2 linked regions of the Saccharomyces cerevisiae S288C genome follow. Changing the gene in region 2 together with the main gene of any one other region gives a genetic interaction. Each region holds a gene or a part of one and is shown on either strand. Other genes may lie near its edges.

What was found. A genetic interaction does not mean that the proteins touch.
Region 1: mutations in MEF2 (region 2) and GRC3 together harm fitness more than expected from each alone (negative genetic interaction), as found in Saccharomyces cerevisiae (one large-scale study listed by BioGRID).

The regions. Positions count from the first base shown.
Region 1 is NC_001144.5:66,718-73,265, forward strand, and holds GRC3 (polynucleotide 5'-hydroxyl-kinase), read left to right. Parts: upstream 1-1,862; coding exon 1,863-3,761; downstream 3,762-6,548. Other genes in the region: E3 ubiquitin-protein ligase PRP19, read right to left, coding at 28-1,539; putative AAA family ATPase RIX7, read right to left, coding at 3,916-6,429. UniProt on the Saccharomyces cerevisiae protein: Polynucleotide 5'-kinase involved in rRNA processing. Required for the efficient termination by RNA polymerase I and the processing of the IST2 pre-rRNA internal transcribed spacer localized between the 5.8S and 25S rRNAs.
Region 2 is NC_001142.9:222,972-233,855, reverse strand, and holds MEF2 (mitochondrial elongation factor MEF2), read right to left. Parts: upstream 2,556-10,884; coding exon 96-2,555; downstream 1-95. Other genes in the region: GSM1 (Gsm1p), read left to right, coding at 2,975-4,831; import motor complex subunit PAM16, read right to left, coding at 6,080-6,529; SET4 (Set4p), read right to left, coding at 7,119-8,801; protein kinase IME2, read right to left, coding at 10,529-10,884. UniProt on the Saccharomyces cerevisiae protein: Mitochondrial GTPase that mediates the disassembly of ribosomes from messenger RNA at the termination of mitochondrial protein biosynthesis. Not involved in the GTP-dependent ribosomal translocation step during translation elongation.

The DNA of each region.
Region 1 (6,548 bases), on a different chromosome or scaffold from region 2:
TTAGAAAGTACAAACGTGTCAGCGTATTTAGGGTGTCAATGCAACAATATTGAAACTATCATTTGTCTTCAGAATAGCGGCAATACCACCATCTCCGCATACCACGTCCATATCAGTGAAATCGGCAGTGTCGCTTTGCAAACAGAGGGCGCTCTCCTCGTCTTTAGTCCAATTTTTTGTTTTCTTGTCAAATTTGTATATCGTCAGCGAATTGCTCTCGTTTGAGTATGCAATCATATTCTTTCCAGAGTCGTCAATGTCATAGGTAACGGTGCCCGTCTTGAATTCTGGGATTGTGTAAGTTGGATACGCTAGCGTGCCGACATCCTTTCTTAGGTCAAAGCAAACCACAGTTTGGTCACACTCTACTACCATCCAGTACCCATTGTCTGCAAATTTAACCTCTTTTATCTTGGCTTCTTCATCTACGGGGAATCTAGAGCTTGCCTGGTCAGGTGATGACAAGTTGTAAACGTCTAATATACCGTCCGGAGAGTAAAGGGCTAATAATAATGAATCCTTATGTAGGACACCGCTGCTGTACTCAACATCTGATTTAGCAGAATGAACAATATACTGGGAATCATCCTCGTAGGATTGAAATCCTATGGTTCCTCTATTATCCGCCCAGATGAAGTACTCTGTGTTGACCTCGTTGTGACCATACATATATATAATCTCATTGGCGGAATCTACCTCTATTTCTCTGAGGACTTTGTTTGTTTTTGAGTCCAATATAGTTATTTGGTTACCTGGATATAGTAGTAGCAAACGATTACAAGGCCCTCTGGAAATAATAGCTGGATGCTCTCCCCCGGTACGGGGATTTGGTGTAGTTATTGTGGTAATCGTTTTCGAATCTTTTAATTGGGTAAAATGTAAAGCACCATCCTCACAGCGACACATGCACACCCATTTATCATAGTACATAGATTTGTTAAGCTCTTTATATGGGAATGTTTTGATGTTACGGGAGTAATTTTGTGCCTGTAATAGCTCCAAATTTTTTAAAATCGGCCATTTGGGTGCTTTGAGCTTGCCCCTCGCTACAAAGTCTCTAGAAGATTGTAACAGCCCTTGTAAAAATTCTTCTCTCGTAATAGCTACCGCTTGCTGTGAGGATTTGGGTAAATCCTTCGAATCTTCGTTTTTTTCCATCAATAGTTGCGCAGCGACCAACTTTGCAGCATCTCTTTCGTACATTACAGTCGACAGTTTTTTCGTTAAACTATCTAGAGTTGATCGTAACTTAAAGTTTTCGAGCATTATAGCATCCCATTCATTCTGTAAACTTGTCAACAGATTCGGAATCGAATAATTCGCTTTTAACGTAGCAGAGTTTGTAGACTCTGTTAGTGAGGCTTGTTGCGCACTAGGTACGATTTCCACTATTTCTTCGATGCTTAAGGGCTCATTTGTTATCGGATCATTCCCCGTATCTTTAACATACTGTTCAAGGAGCGACTTTTCAAAAATAGTCCTGGATTTAGGTGATAGAACTGGCCTTCTAGGAACTTTCCCACTAATAGCACAAAGCATTGTTCCCTAGTTGGCTTTCTTGGCTATGTTTTGGTCTTTAATATTTCTTGGAAAGTTTGCATCTTTCTAAAATTGCCCTTACGAATTTTTCACCGCTGCTACCCGAAAAAGTACGAAATTTATCAACATGAAATTTATTCCTGCCAAGTCATCGAGTGCTCTGCGCCTAAGGCTTAGGTTGCATTTAAGTTGTCTTAATTCACGCTTATAGTGCAGGTAGTATAGGTTCCCCACTCCTGATCTTTCCCTTCTGAAATAAGGAAAGACTGCAGTTTAGTTTGGCAGAGAGAAGAAGATAATCATTTCTATTATATTCTACCGCTATGGTGATAGATTCCAAACAGGATCTACCTCAATATACCAAAGATTCAGGTTCAGAATCGGACTCAGACTCAAGTAATAATTTCATTGTGGAATCTCCGTCAATTCCATCTTCAAAAAGTGCAACCGTAGTTCTCAATAGTGAAGAGTATGAGGACGACGAAGGTGATGACTTGAACGGGCTGGATGCTGAATTGATCGATAATATAACGTATGAAGGAGATGAAGATGAAACTATGTTTGTGGGGTTGAAAGAAAAACAGAAGTTACATTTATCTGGTGTTTTCCGGCTGCAAGTGGTGAAAGGAGGTATTGTCTACAACAATGTACACTATAACGCTTCGAGAGAAATTTTAACCTTCTGGCACCCGTTATCACAGTCCATACCTACTATAGATTTTTCGCACTTTGCAGGCTGGCAAGACACTTTTTTTATGCCGAGAAACAACAGGTTTAAAATTAGAGATGAAGAATTCAAATCATTTCCATGTGTTCTTCGCGTTTTTAATTCTAATCATACGGGCTTGTTAGAAGCAGGTCATTTATATCGGGATGTTAATTATCTATGGAAACCTAAAGAACCTTACTTTCCATTAAACGAGAGAACAACGTATCATTTATTACATGAGTCAGACCGAATTCAATCTTTATCCGTGCCGGGATATTGGTCAACTCCGTTAGAGAAGTTATATTTGAGTCACAAGAACGCTGCGTATGATACAAGAATCATGGTGATTGGTGGTAAAAACTCTGGGAAGTCTACATTCTTGAGGCTTTTATTGGAAAAATTTACGCAAGATATACGAGATTCTACTACGAGCCAGGAAGAATTGGTATACCTGGATTTAGATCCTGGTCAACCTGAATACTCACTACCTGATTCAATATCCCTGAATAAGATTCTTTCCAGCCCTATTTCTCTCGGACAACATCTCTGCCAAGGTTCAAATTTCCAAACTTTGTTACAGTTCTACGCTGGCTCCTCTTCCCCGCAGGACGAGCCCACATCATACCTGAACTGCGCTGATAAACTTATAGACCATTTGGAAGAGCAAGCCTTCTTCGGAACGTCATTGCTTAATCTACCTGGGTGGATAAAAGGATTCGGGATGCAGATTTTAAATCATATAATAAGGAAATATAAGCCCACTCACTTATTGTTTTTGGAAACAGCTAATTCGAAAAGACACCTGGATGAACTAACAATTCCACAGAGTTTTTCCACATCACTACGAGATGCATATGCACCTGAAGTTGTTCGCGTTCCAGCCCATAGTCTGAACCACACCTTATCTTCTAGGTTCCATGCATCACAACTGAGAACATTCAAAATACTGGCACTGTTTCATAAAATAACTCAATTTGATTATGATTTTGCGCCTCTTTTAAAATCTGCACCTTTGCAAATTTCATATGGCAAAGGTAAAAGCGGTATTAAAGGCATTCAATTTCCTATGGAATTCCAGGATCTGAATCCTCAAGATATCAAGTCCGCATTGGAAGGTACTGTCATTGGGATATATACATATTCTGGAGAAGACTCACTAGAGGTGAAATCCTTGAATACCTTTCCCATCCTACAATCGTGTACTTCTTCTTCTAAAAATTTCATAACTCTGGGGCTGATACACTCTATTGACACCTCCCAGCAAATAATGAACATTTACGTGCCACCTTGCCATACCCAGATTTTAGATAAACAACCTGAGGATGCTCAATGGATAATAGTAAGAAATAAGACGGAAACTCCTTTTTGTGACTTTCTTCCATCCCCCCGCACAATTACATGGGATGATAATATACAAATACCGTTCGCAACTTTTGAAAGAAGGAAAAAATTGGAACATGTGTGGAAAGTTCGTAAGAACGTCATGAGACGTGGCCAATTCATGAAAAGATAGAAAGAAAAGGTAATCGTACATTTTTTAATAGTGAAAGATAGAGGATACACAAAAATCATGCAAAGTTTTATATATTTGTTATGTATACTCATATTCCTTCAATATCTAAGTCATACTAACTTCTAGGGACTTTACCAAAATATTATTTATAAATTTATTGTTTCATTTCTTCCGCATCCTTCATCTCCTCCGTTAAACCCATTTTCTTATTTAATCTATCATATTTCAGTCTATCTTTATCGCTCACAGAGGGTTTAATCTTTCTTAATGCACTTCGGAAGTCAGACATGGTCACAATAATTTCTTCGCCAGATACGCCAACCGATAGATCCTCAAATTCCTTGTCTAAGTCATTATCAAGAACAGATTGTATTTCTTCGCTCTGAAAAAACTTCCTTTTTAGAGCCAAGACTGAACTCTCCCTGACTAAAGCAGCCAAGTCAGCGCCTGAAAAATTGTTGCACTTCTCATTTCTGATAATTTCTTCAAAATCAACATCGCTACTCAGAGGTGTTCCGTGTGATTTGGTCAAAGTTTTGATAATATCTAGTTTTTCCTCAGTATTAGGTAACTCAATAAACAAACTCTTATCCAATCTGCCCGGTCTTAACATAGCAGGATCAATCATATCAGGTCTATTAGTGGCGCCAATCACAAAAATTCCCCTTCTATCGTTCAGCCCATCTAATTCCGTTAACAAAGTGTTGACGACTCTTGAGGAGGATTCGGACAAAGAAGTATCTCTTCTTGGCACCAAAGCGTCCAGTTCATCAAAAAATATAACACACGGTACAGACGCCCTTGCTCTAGTAAAAACTTGTCTGATGGACCTTTCTGATTCACCAACGTATTTATTTAATAATTCAGGACCTTTGATTGATATGAAATTTGCACGAGATTCATTGGCAACAGCTTTTGCTAGTAACGTTTTACCACAACCTGGTGGTCCCCACAATAAAACACCACCAGGGGCGCTAATTCCCACTTTTTCATAAAGCTCTGGTCTCTTGATGGGTTGCACAATAGCCATATTTAATTCAAGTCTAACTCTTTGCAATGCGCCTACATTAGCCCAAGTAACATCAGGTACCGTAGCGAACCCTTCTCTCTTTGCTGTTGGTTGAATTGTTGGCAACGCTTTCAAAAAATCTTCGTACTTAATCGATAATAATGATAACTGCTCTCCTGATAAAGGCTCAGGATAATTACGAATAAATTGTTGGACTACGGATAAAGGCAACGGATCGATCATATTCGCAGTGTTCTTCAGGCTAGATTCATCTCCGTTTGCTGTTTCATCAATTTCCATGTTATCTTCTGAACTGTCCGTTGCCGTAGTTGGTGTGGATTTTATATTAGCATAGGTTTGGAAAATTCTTTTAATAGCGCATGTACCGGCAGCAGTAACTAAAGCCTTTAAATCAGCGCCAACAAAGCCTGGGGTTAATTTTGCCAATTTGGCAAAATCGATAGCACCATCAATTTTTAGGTTATCAGACATTTTCTTTAAAATATGTAACCTTGAGACTTCATTCGGGACATTCAGGCATATTTCTCTATCGAATCTACCTGCTCTTCTCAATGCTGCATCCAAAGAGTCAGGTCTATTCGTGGCACCTATGATAATAACAGGTTTTCCATTTGTCTTTTCCATCGTTAATTCATCCATTGAGGTCAATAATTGGGCAACTATTCTTCTCTCCATTTCTCTTTGGGCTCCTCCATCACGTTTTGGTGTAATGGCATCTATTTCATCAAAGAAAACAAGACATGGTGCCAAGCTTCTCGCTTCATCAAACAAATCCCTAATCTTTTTCTCGCTTTCCCCAGACATACCACTTACGACTGAAGGTGCAGAAATAGATATAAATGGGACTTGTAATTCTCCAGCTAACGCATTAGCAATCGACGTCTTACCGCAACCCGGTGGGCCATGCAACAGAACACCTCTAGGTGGTTCGACACCCGTGGATAAAAATATCTCTGGATGAAGAATGGGTAGACCTATTAGTTCCATAAGTTGTGCAACGACATCATCCATACCACCTAAGGATTTCAGAGACGAATTAGGTGGAGATCTATCTTCCTTGATTTTTTGACGTTTTACCTTACATGTACCTTCTTTGGATCTTTTTTTAGATTTTTTAACCTCTTCTGTCTTAGGATCATCAGTTTCTGTTATAGACTCGGAAACAGATCCAGATTTGGACCACGTGCTAGTTATGCGTTTGTTCATCTCATTTGTGTCTCGCTCAATCATCATATTTTTCTTAGCTAGTTCTTCTTCCAAGCTTGGTTTCTCTTCCTCTTCGTTGTTGTAACCTGGGTAAGAACCAAATTCTTCCAATTCTGATTCAATCACGTCTTTTAGCATGCGGTCAATTGTCTTTTGTAAGACAACTTTCTTAACTCTTTGAAGTGATAAATCTTTAGTCAAACAAAAGGTAAAAATCTCACCTGCTGTTAAATCTTTAGCGAAAAACATGGATTCAAATATATCCTCATCTTCTTCACCCTCGTTGTTCTCGCCCTCTTCTCCTTGGGATTCTTGTCTCAGAGACCTTTTTCTGTCCAAAGTTTTTTCTTCCAAGAGACGATAGATAAGATCGACGATCTTGTTATCTAGAGAACTTGTTAATGAGTTCTTTTTCGACTTTACTTTAACCATTATTCCAGCCTTCCCACCACGTAGCTATTATCGGCCCTAATGATCTTTTATTCTAACTGACTCGCAGATTAATTCACACATCGGTTGTTAATCATTGTTTGAATTTCCAAAATATGCGA
Region 2 (10,884 bases):
ATATACAACTACACAGTTATCGGTTCACACTATTCGATAGTTGTAAAAACCATTTTGATAAAGATATAACAAGGCGTTTATTAAGGACATTTTTGCTACAAGTCGTGAAGTATTGATTGTAGGCGATCGTTGGTAACTTTCTCCATATCGGAATATTCAATATTGAACTCACCCCTCCCTTGCGATAAGCTCCTTAGCTTATTGGTGTAGGTGGTAATTTCCCTTAGTGGCACTTTCGCTTTTATAATTTTTTTTACATTAGAACTGGTCTCTTGAGTGTTTTTTTTATCTTTGGTTGCGTGTAGGGTTGTAACAGCATCAGAGGGAATATATATCCTATTGCTGTTCTCTGGAGAATTACAAGTGGATGCGCCAGAATTTGACACGCTTGATTCGTCTTCAATAGACAGAATTTGAGCCTTTCTTGCTCCTGTTAGATCTTGTAACACCGTACCAACATCAGATTGAGGGATTGTTAGATCAAGATTCATGATGGGTTCCAGAAGGTTGTATTTTTCAGGTTTTAAGTCATTGAGAGCTTTAAAAATTAAGTTTCTAGTAATTTTTAAGATTTCTTGTGGAGTTTCAATATCAGGTGGGACTGACCAATCGCTATTGATTTTGATGGAGCATGCATATAAGGGAAAGTTAGCTATTTTTCCGCCTCTTTGAAGTCCCACAATGCAACTTGCAATAATAGAATTTAGAATTGATTCGAAAGAAACTTGGTATTTCCATTCTTTATCCCAATTACCATTTTTTTCCATTATCAGAAAATTCTCGTTGACTCCTAATGGATATGCAAGGCAGTTAGGAAGGGCATCGGAATTTGGTAGCAGAGATAAGGAGAATCTATATCCATCATCACTCTCATACGTTTCTATATTTGTTTCTGAATTAATTGTTTCTTTGTAGGACACCATCAACTGACCAAATTCAACATCTGCTTTTAGGTCATTAACCAATCGATCCTTGGCAATTTCAAGGTGTAATTCACCCATACCGTTTAAAACCGTTTGGCCAGTCTCATCATTTTGAGAAATTGAAAGACTGGGATCTTCAGTAATTAAAGTGTTTAAAGCTTCTTCCATCGATTTTTTATTACTTAAAGTCCTTGGTTCGATGGAAACACCAAAAACTGGTGGGGGAATGAAGATAGAATTGATTTTTAACGTCAACTCCTTTTTTTTATCAAGTGATTTCAACCCATCCTTCTTCGACGAATGCGTTATTAGTGTATCTCCAGTAGATATGTTGTTTTCGACTGTAGAGCCAGTAAGCAATCCGATTTGGCCCGCAGTTAAAATATTTACAGGTTGTGATGTTCCCGCATGGGGTATCAGTAATTTACCCAATTTAAATTTTTCCCCAGTAGTAGAATTATAAACGGTATTGCCACTGTTTAGTGTACCTGAATAAATTCTAATGAATATTTGTTTACCCCTGATTGGATCCGTAATCACTTTGAATGCAAGAGCAATGCAAAGATTTTTGTTGTTGTTTACTAAACATCCAACTTTGGGGTCATATTTCATTGGAACGGTTTTATCATTTAGTTCTGGTAGTTCGGCTTCAATGGGCGAAGGGAGATAATTAACTATAGCATCTAATAGAGGCTGCACGCCAATATTTTTAAAAGACGCACCGCATAAGACAGGTACAATCATATTCTTCATAGTCAGTTTTCTTATTGAAGCGTTCAAAAACTGTGCGGAAACCTTGGAGTAATCGCCTTCTGCCTCCTCTAAGAAGTGCTGGACTAAATCTTCGTCGTATTCAGTCAAAGTCTCTATCATCGATTCCCTACAACGATTACACTGCTCAAGAGAAGTACCATCCAACTCATCCACGATAATTTCATCAGGATTTTCTGGATTCCAGGTTAATCGCTTCCCATTTACGACGTCAATAACACCTTGGAAAACATAATCATTGCTAGTCGGTTGTTTTCGATAGTAAGGAATGTTTACCAACACCGGTTTGGTAGTTGTTCCTCTCATAAATTTATTTATCAAGTCATTGACTGTATGGTTGAAACTCGCCCCCATACGATCCATTTTGTTGATAAAGCAGATTTTGGGCTTCGATTTACTTTGCTTCCAAACCTTCTCTGTCTGTGCCTCTACGCCGGCAACAGCGTCCAAAATGACCACGCATGAATCAATAACTTTCAAAGCCCTAATCACTTCAAAAGTAAAATCTATATGTCCCGGCGTATCAATAAGATTTATTGCAAAAGTATTTCGCCATGGGAATGAAATCGCAGCGCTTTGAATTGTGATACCTCGGGATCTCTCCTGCTCTAAAAAATCAGTTATCGTATCGCCAGTGTCGACGTCTCCAATATGCTTTGAGATTCCTGCATAATAAAGCATCCTCTCTGTTGTGGTAGTTTTACCTGCATCGATATGGGCTATAATTCCTATATTTCTAACCTTAGACAGTGGACTTCTTGCGGTCGATAAGTATCTACTTCCAACGTTAATTACACTTAATCGGTTCTTGCTAATGTTTACTCTTGCGCCCGCCCATCTGCGCACATTCCATTTCCACATAGCCTCCCTCACTTATCTTGCCCCTTTTGTATATCTCTGACTGCCGTTTTGCCACCAGAAAGCTTGTTGATCTATTTCACATTATCTTCTTTTAACCGCCCAGCCTCCGCGCCGTCGTCGTTCTCTGTGCTGATTGGTTATCTCCCCTCTCACTAAGGGAAGGCCTCAAAAATTGTCGAAATGAGAAGAGGCTGAAACGATTTACTAATCATCATAGCCTGCTTAAACGAGTTAACACTAAGGGGAAGGGTACGACTATCATTTGTTCGGATCTCTGAACCGGATATTTTCTTTGTTACACACATCAAGTTTTTGCATGAATAGATCATATTTCGAATGATTTAACGTATTACAGCTTAGCAATAAAGGGAGTAAAGAAATAATATATTTGGATACAGCATACAAGAATATATATACATATGACCAAAAAACTACCTTCAGAGTTGAAACAGACGAGAAAGTCTATCCAGACAGCTTGTGAATTCTGTCATACCAAACATATACAGTGTGACGTAGGGAGGCCATGTCAAAACTGTTTAAAAAGAAATATTGGGAAGTTTTGCAGAGATAAGAAAAGGAAATCAAGAAAACGAATTGAGAAGCATGGAACACAACCATACTTGAATTTGGGGAAGAGGCTGGTAATACATGATGTGCCGTCGAAGACGGTATCCCCCTCAAGCGTACATCTGCAGCGAGATTTTCTATCTTCAGATCAGGAAAAACCAGGCAAAACACCTGCCCACAATACGAATATCCAATATACGTATAATATAAATGATAACTTTCAAAGCGCTGGATCTATTCCACGTATTACGAACTTCAATACGAATAACCGCCAGACCGTCTTAGAAAATACTTCTAATAATATATCAGCTTCACAAGCAGTACATTTAATGAATGACCCCATCATACCCACCGTACGGAAGAGTACTCTCAATTTAAAGTCGCATTTCCTAGAGCAACATAAAGCAATGCAGCAGCCGCTGGCTACCAATTGTTTGGTTGCTACTTCAAACGTTCCTGTGCACTCTGGAATGGACGATAGTAATAAGAGTGACGATGATGTCGATGACGAAACTAATATTCACTTTGATAGTATGTGGTGCAATGACGAATACATGAAATTAAAGGATATAGTAGATATTTCAACGCCGTTTTTACCGAATAACTCCCAGATATTTTCCCTCCAAGAATCAGAATATCCCAATCCTAGCGCATCTACACGGGGAAATTCGTCATTGCATTTAACGAACCTTTTAAACTCGACAAAAAGCGTGAATGACCAAAAGGACTCCTCGATCGGCCATTCCACTTCTACTTTCAATACATATGATGAAGTAGTGTCTAGGCCCTTTATATCTTTAGACATGCTGCATTTGAATCGTGGAGCAAACGCTAATACACACCCATCACATAACGCCAAACTGGAAAGCGAATGTGACAGTTCTAGTCACTCCGATGCAGATCTGGAGAAACATGATACCGATTTCATATCACCTTCAAAGTTTCGTGAATTAGTAAAGACTCCTCAAGACCTATATGACAATAAATGTTTAATAAAACCGCATAATTACAAGCTCGCATACACCAAACTGCTAACTACTTTAAGAAAAAAATTTCTTGAAGGAGCTGAAATTGATAAATCTGCCTCAGTAAAAGACGAACACAGTACCCAAAAGCATAATTTGAGATATGATTTAGAAGTTATAATACGCTCTATACTAGAAAGATATGCTCCAATTTTCATTTCGTTAACATCCAATATGATTGAAGAGGATTTGCTATTACAGGAAGTTACCTTGCAAAGGGCTTTATTAGATTTGGAGAACATGGCAAAATTAGTAAGCTGCACACCGATGTGCATCTGGAGAAGATCAGGCGAGATTTGTTTTGTCAGTAACGAATTCTATTCTTTAACAGGTTTTAACAAAAATTTACTATTAGACCGCACCTCCTTTATTTTTGAATATCTGGATCATAAAAGCGTTTCGAATTACTTTCAAATATTTAACGAATTGCTGGCATTTGGTTACAATGATATCAATAAAAGGAAAAAACTATTGATGTTGAACGCATGTTCTTCTACCTCGTCAAAAATTACAGAAGGGTTTTCTTTTACTACGGATGGAAAAGCAATCTTTACTAAGTGCAATTTATTATTAAGTAACGGTCTTTATTTGAAGTGTGCCTGTTGTTGGACAGTAAAAAGGGACTCGTTTAATATCCCAATTCTCGTAATGGGACAATTTTTACCAATTTTTGAAATGGACTGATCACTATTTTTTGGGCTTATTACTGATTACAGTTTTTATATGCATTCTGTCCGTTTCTTTGATTTTATCGCTTATTTTTTACTTAGGTTGGCAATTCAGTATTCTTTAGCGTTTCTTTTTTTTATTTTACTTTCCGTATCAACAATAATATTTATATTTATGTACAGTTTTACATTGTAATTTAGTTTCTCAGGAATTCGTCAAAAATGTAAAATCATCCATTGAAAACCTTCTTCCCTGAAGAATTTTAAGCATAACTTTATATTTTTAAACAAGGTGGATCTAGAAACTTTGTATTAATTACAAGAATTTATAATATTATTCGGGAGCAACAATATGGATTTCTTGCCAGTAAAACCCTACCTATTACTTCCCTCTTTATTATTAGCCGGGTCACACTAAATTGAAAAATTTGTTCTTTCCTGTTTTTGGAGCAACAGAAAAGTATAAATAGAGCTAGTGTTGTCCGATTGGCAAAAACTTCTTCCCTTTGTTACTTCTTCTTTAAAATTCAAATTTTTCTTTTGATTTTTTTTCAAAAGGCTAACATCAGTAGTGGTTAATACTATCTTTAGATAATATTAATTTCATTATACCATAGAAACCTAAAGATTAGGTTATTTTCGTTCTTCATGTTATGGAGTGTGAGTGATGAGGAGCTTGCTCTTTTAAGCTCATATTACGTAATAAGTTAATACTGGAGCGAGAATAATTTAAATCATTTCATCATAACCCATAGCTGAATGAACTTTGACTACTCCTAAACAAAGTAGTAACAATTTTCATTTCGTTTCCGGTTTCTTAGATCGAATATTATTCTGAGGAAATTCCCTGATTACATATCAGGGAAAGGTTCGCGTTTTTAGAGAATTGCGTAATGCGATTTGAAAGTTTAAATTCCTAAGCGACTCTTCTTCATGATAAGACAGTTTATATTTTGTATACTTTCTCATTCCCATAATTTGTAGTGCCTACGGGGATGGACTTGTCTTGGTACCAACTGACGGTACGTTCTGATGCTGCCTTGCTTGTGCTCCAACATTTTTTTTTTAATTTCATTTTCGTGTACGGTGCGTATATCGAGATGGCATCTGAGTATATTTACTTTGGTACATATACTAATATTAACTAAATACAAGGATGGTGGTTGAAGATTCCTAACGTACAGGAAGCAACCAACTAGGAAAATATATGCACTGCTGCATGCTTTCGATAACACTTGTGACGTAATGATGGAGGCTTCCTTGACTACTGATTGCTGCTTGCACTATTATCTGCACCAGATGAATTTGTTGAATTCGGAGGAGGTTTCGCTGTTGAAGCGTCCCCTGCTTTCGCCTTCGCATTTTTTTCTCTCTGAGCCAGTTCCCATTTTAACCTTTCTGCTGCTCGATAAACTTTGCTCTGTAAGTAGAAGCTTCCACCTTTTTCTTTATCGTTAACCTCAAATAGATAGTTAAACCTGTTATTAATCTTGTCCATGTTTAAATCGCCCTTGGATTCTTCAATATTTAAAATTTTACAACTCTCATCCAACGTAATACCACCATATTCGCCTTTTCCTGTTCCCCTTCTAGATGCATTTGTAGCACCTTGTTTCACTGATTGTGAAGCCGCTTGTCTATACGCCTCGGCGAATGCTTTTCCAAAAACTTGAGTTCCTGTGATTATAACCTGTATGAAAGCCCTGTGAGCCATATTTTATATCCAACAAGTCTATGTTTTTCTTATGCTCAAGTCACGAAGCTGTTGCCAAATTTATAGTCAGCTGAAATATGTGAATCGGATGCAAATGAGTTATAAGTTGAAGCTTCAAAATTTGCTACGTGAAAAATGATAAACGATGATGAAGTAAATAAATATCGTAAAACGAAAAACTCTCTTTTAAAAAATTCATATGTAGGAATTTCATTTGATAAGAACCTCACTCTTCATATCAAATAAGTCATTAACCTGCCATGAAATGAATTATGGAAACAATGCAGCTTTTTGAAAGGAAAAGTGCGGTGGATTTTAACGTTAAGGATCCTCTCAACTAATGATTGATGCTTAATCGTGGCATCTATAAATAAAGCATGAATTGTTCTCTATAGTTACAAAGTGGTGATTTATTATAAAAGTGTTTTGATATTCACGCTTTCAACATTAAAGCTAAAAACAAAAGAAAAAAAATGAAGACCAATGCGAAAAAAAATACCAAGATTGAAGTTTTGGAAGAAAAATTATGATGATAAAATTAAGCTTTCAAAAAAGATTAAAATGAATACTATTAATTTTAAAATTTCGTTTATGGCTTACAGTTGTGCATTATTGTATTAAAGTAAGATTTATTAGATAGGGATTCCTTCGTATTCCTCATGAATTCTTCAGAAAAGTTTTTGATTTTAGTTATTGGACAATTATGGCCCAAGTACCCACATGCACAATCACAATTTGTTAAAATAGTCTTTATTGACCCCATCAACCAGAACTTGTCGGGATCCGGTAGGGAATCCAAATCTTTAGATGCATTTATTATCTCCCAAATAGGATTTCTCAAATCCCATTGCCATTCTACGCTTATCTCTTCTCCCTTACGAATATCTCTTATAGCCCTTAAAACAAATTTAACTCTACAATCATTATCTCCTCTTGGTTTTTCGTCAAGCGGTCTTACCGTTACTAGTTCCACATTGGGCTCACAACTCCGTCTTATGTATCTTGTTAATCCGCCTGTTTCTCGAGAGTCTATATATAAAGGCCAATGTGGATGAAAAAGTACTTTAGGTTTTGTCGTTCCCATCAAACGATAGTCATTATTTGGATCTGTCTGATAATTTTTTTGAAAATCAATTTTGCCCAAATATTCTTGAATTAGCTCACCTTTAACACAAGAATCTGCAGCGAAGACTCCAAAATCTCTTTCATTTGATGATTTTCTTACCTCGATGTCAGCTGACCTTGAGCTTTCCCAGTTAGAACAAACAACCCAATCGTCATCATAATGGTTATCAATAAACATCTTAACATATTTGTCCTTATACTCTGATATTGTTATTGCTTTGAATTCCGTGTCATTGGAAGAACTTACCTCATTCAGTAGTGGCTTCAGAAAGTGGCTTGATACTACCAGTTTTTCTTGCCTCAATTTTTTCCGTATACTATTGCTATTTTCAGTTGTTGGGGCGGTATAATGAAGTTGACGTTTCTTGGGCTGTTCCTCTATGTTATTCACAGACTGTTGATGCTGATTTGTGTTCGATGCTGAAGTTGTCACTATGGATGAAAATTGAAATAATCGCTCATCTCCCATTTTTCTAGGGAATATCATTGGTTTTACTTGATTAACCTGCACTTTCGTATCACTGTCACATCTTTTGCAAACAAAATCTCTTTTTATTGGATCTGATTTTTTGAAAGCATAACATAACTTGTGCTGCCACGTTTTACATTTGTTACACTGTATAAACAACTCATCCTTGGAGTCACTTGAACCGCAGATGCAACCATTTTTAGGTTTGTTATCTTCTGCTCTCATGGAGGGTGTAATTTTATTTTCTTTCGATGATTCATTGTGTGTTACCGAGACCTTGGAATTATCATCTTGATTCTGTTTTTTCAGTGGAAATGGTATGGTGGCAGCAGTTGCCAATGCTACTGCTGCTGCTATTCCTCTTTTATTTGTTGATGCCGTTTTTGATGAGCCTGATGAAGAATGATGGTTGAAAATGCCCCTGTCATTTTGAAATAAATGTAAAGGCGTTGGGCCAGCTGTAGGCATTGTATTGAATGTCCTTATCGGCATATACTGAGGTGAGGGTAATGTCTCTGAAGCTGCACTGCTGACGGACAAGGGTGTGTGATCGCCGTAATCTTTAGACATTGAACTATTAGATGAGTACGACGACGACCGCGATATGACCTTGTCTGTGGTTGTGTATGTCCTTCCTTGCCTGATATGACGAGAAGATAGTGATTCCGGTGAAGTCATTTTGAAGATGAAGCGGTATTTGTAACTTTCTGACGAGGGTACCAATCTTATTCCGGCGTTCCACGCTGAAATTATCTATGCTTTTGTCTTAAAGAGAAGCAAACAAGTAATTTGAATCAGATATATTTCCCTCCTTTCCTTTTCAATAAAAAGTGATGAGATGGCCTATTGATATCAAGCTATGAATAGGGTAGCCACCTTTTATACAAAGTTTCTTAGATGTGTATAGCCGTGCAATACCAAAATCGAGGTTCCTTATATACTTCCTAGTACTATCCAAGAACAATAATAAGGTTTCCTGAAGGAAAAAGAGGTGGTTATTGATCACCAGAAAGTTTGGCATTAAAAACAAACGACAGCACAAAGGAACTTTCACCCTACAGCACCTTCTGTGTGCATGATTACATGTACCCGAGTAGCGAAAAAAGCCAGAAAATGTGCAAGAATAAAGGTATCTCAATGAACGAGCTCGAGCGTCAAGAGACGGGTATAAGCGAAGAAGCGCAATGCCGCCAGCCAAGCAAAGCCAAACGAAGAGATCGACCTTCCATGGGGTCGCAACTTTTCCCGGTGACCTCTACATGTGTGATTGTTAGTTCAGCGTAACAGAGTTTCAACAACATGCATATACGAGTGTGCCTTCGTGCCTGATTTTGGTTGATTATCCGGCTTCCAACCTCGTTAAATTTTCATAAAGTGCATATCGTGTAATGTAAAAAGTAAAAAGATAAAAAAGACTCATATGAAATCTTGCTGCATGGAGACAAGTGCACTCGAATTCTTTACTTATATTTTCGCTCTTGAGCTCGTCCTTTTACTAGCATATCAATATCCGTTTCATTGAAAAGTGGCCTTAGAAACGCGGACACATTAGTCTCGTATGTCGGCTCTCGCCTACTTCTTGCCTATTGTTTCAGTGCCTTTAAACCTTATTTCCCTTCCCTCGCGTGCCATTCGGCGATCTCGATTTTCCGCAAGGGGCCTCAAACGACCGACATCAAAAACCAAAACAAAGGCCAAGCACATCGTTTAGAGAAGAAATTTTGGGGGTAATATGTTTTAACGATGCCATATATGCACCAACTTCTAGGGGAAAGAATGCTTTTGACTATCTCTCCTTCCTTGCATATAGGCCAGATTTTTCCTTGGATTGTGCTGTATTACTATTGGCTCCAAGGAACCTCACAGTGAGCTTTTCCAAACCGAAAGATTTCTCTTGCGATTTCTTCGTATGCAGTAATAGGGTTTTTTGAGAATATACCGGGCATAATGTTGCAGTTATCAACTATCGCACATACAGTAGTAACAGTTCTGGTTGTCCTAGCATTAATGCCGTTTTAATTTTCTGCAGAGTATTGCCTGTGGACAACAGTAACTTATACGAATAAACATACCAAGTTAGGATCTGAGCCGGGTAACCGAACACAAAGATCTCGTTCTACTTTTTTTGACCTCTTGATGAGTTGCTTAACAAAATCAGTAGCCGCCAAGAGCAAGAAATCATAAAATGTTCAAGAAAAACAAACATAAAAATATATTGGAGGGGAATAAACGCAAAGTAATGTCTAATAAGTTAAATTAAAGCCATCGAAAAAGCACTGTATTAATAGAGCAGTAGCTATTTAGGTGAATGCATAGTAATATAATATATATGCGAACATATGTATGTCTATGTGTATATAACTATATAACTGTGCCTAACGATTCGTCAGTCAAATGACAAATTATTAGAAGGTTACATTTCCAAAATGTTGGTTTGAATTGGATAGATGAGGCTCGAACTTTTCCCGTGATTTTTTTAATGTAGGTATCAAGAAATTTCTTGGAGTAAAATCTGGCATTGAATTAAACGAATCGCCTAAAGAGGCATCACCCAAAACATTATCACCTCTATGATGTGACCTATCTGTATGTGTGTAATTTGAGTTGTTCACATATGGTAGAACGATGTCTTCATCAATATCTGCATGTTCATTAAATGGTTGTTTTCTCTGAAACTCATCCTTTTCAGGAATTTCCAGGTCAAAAAATAGCTGTTCCATGTTGTCTGCTTCATCTTTATTTATAATTTCAATATCATTTG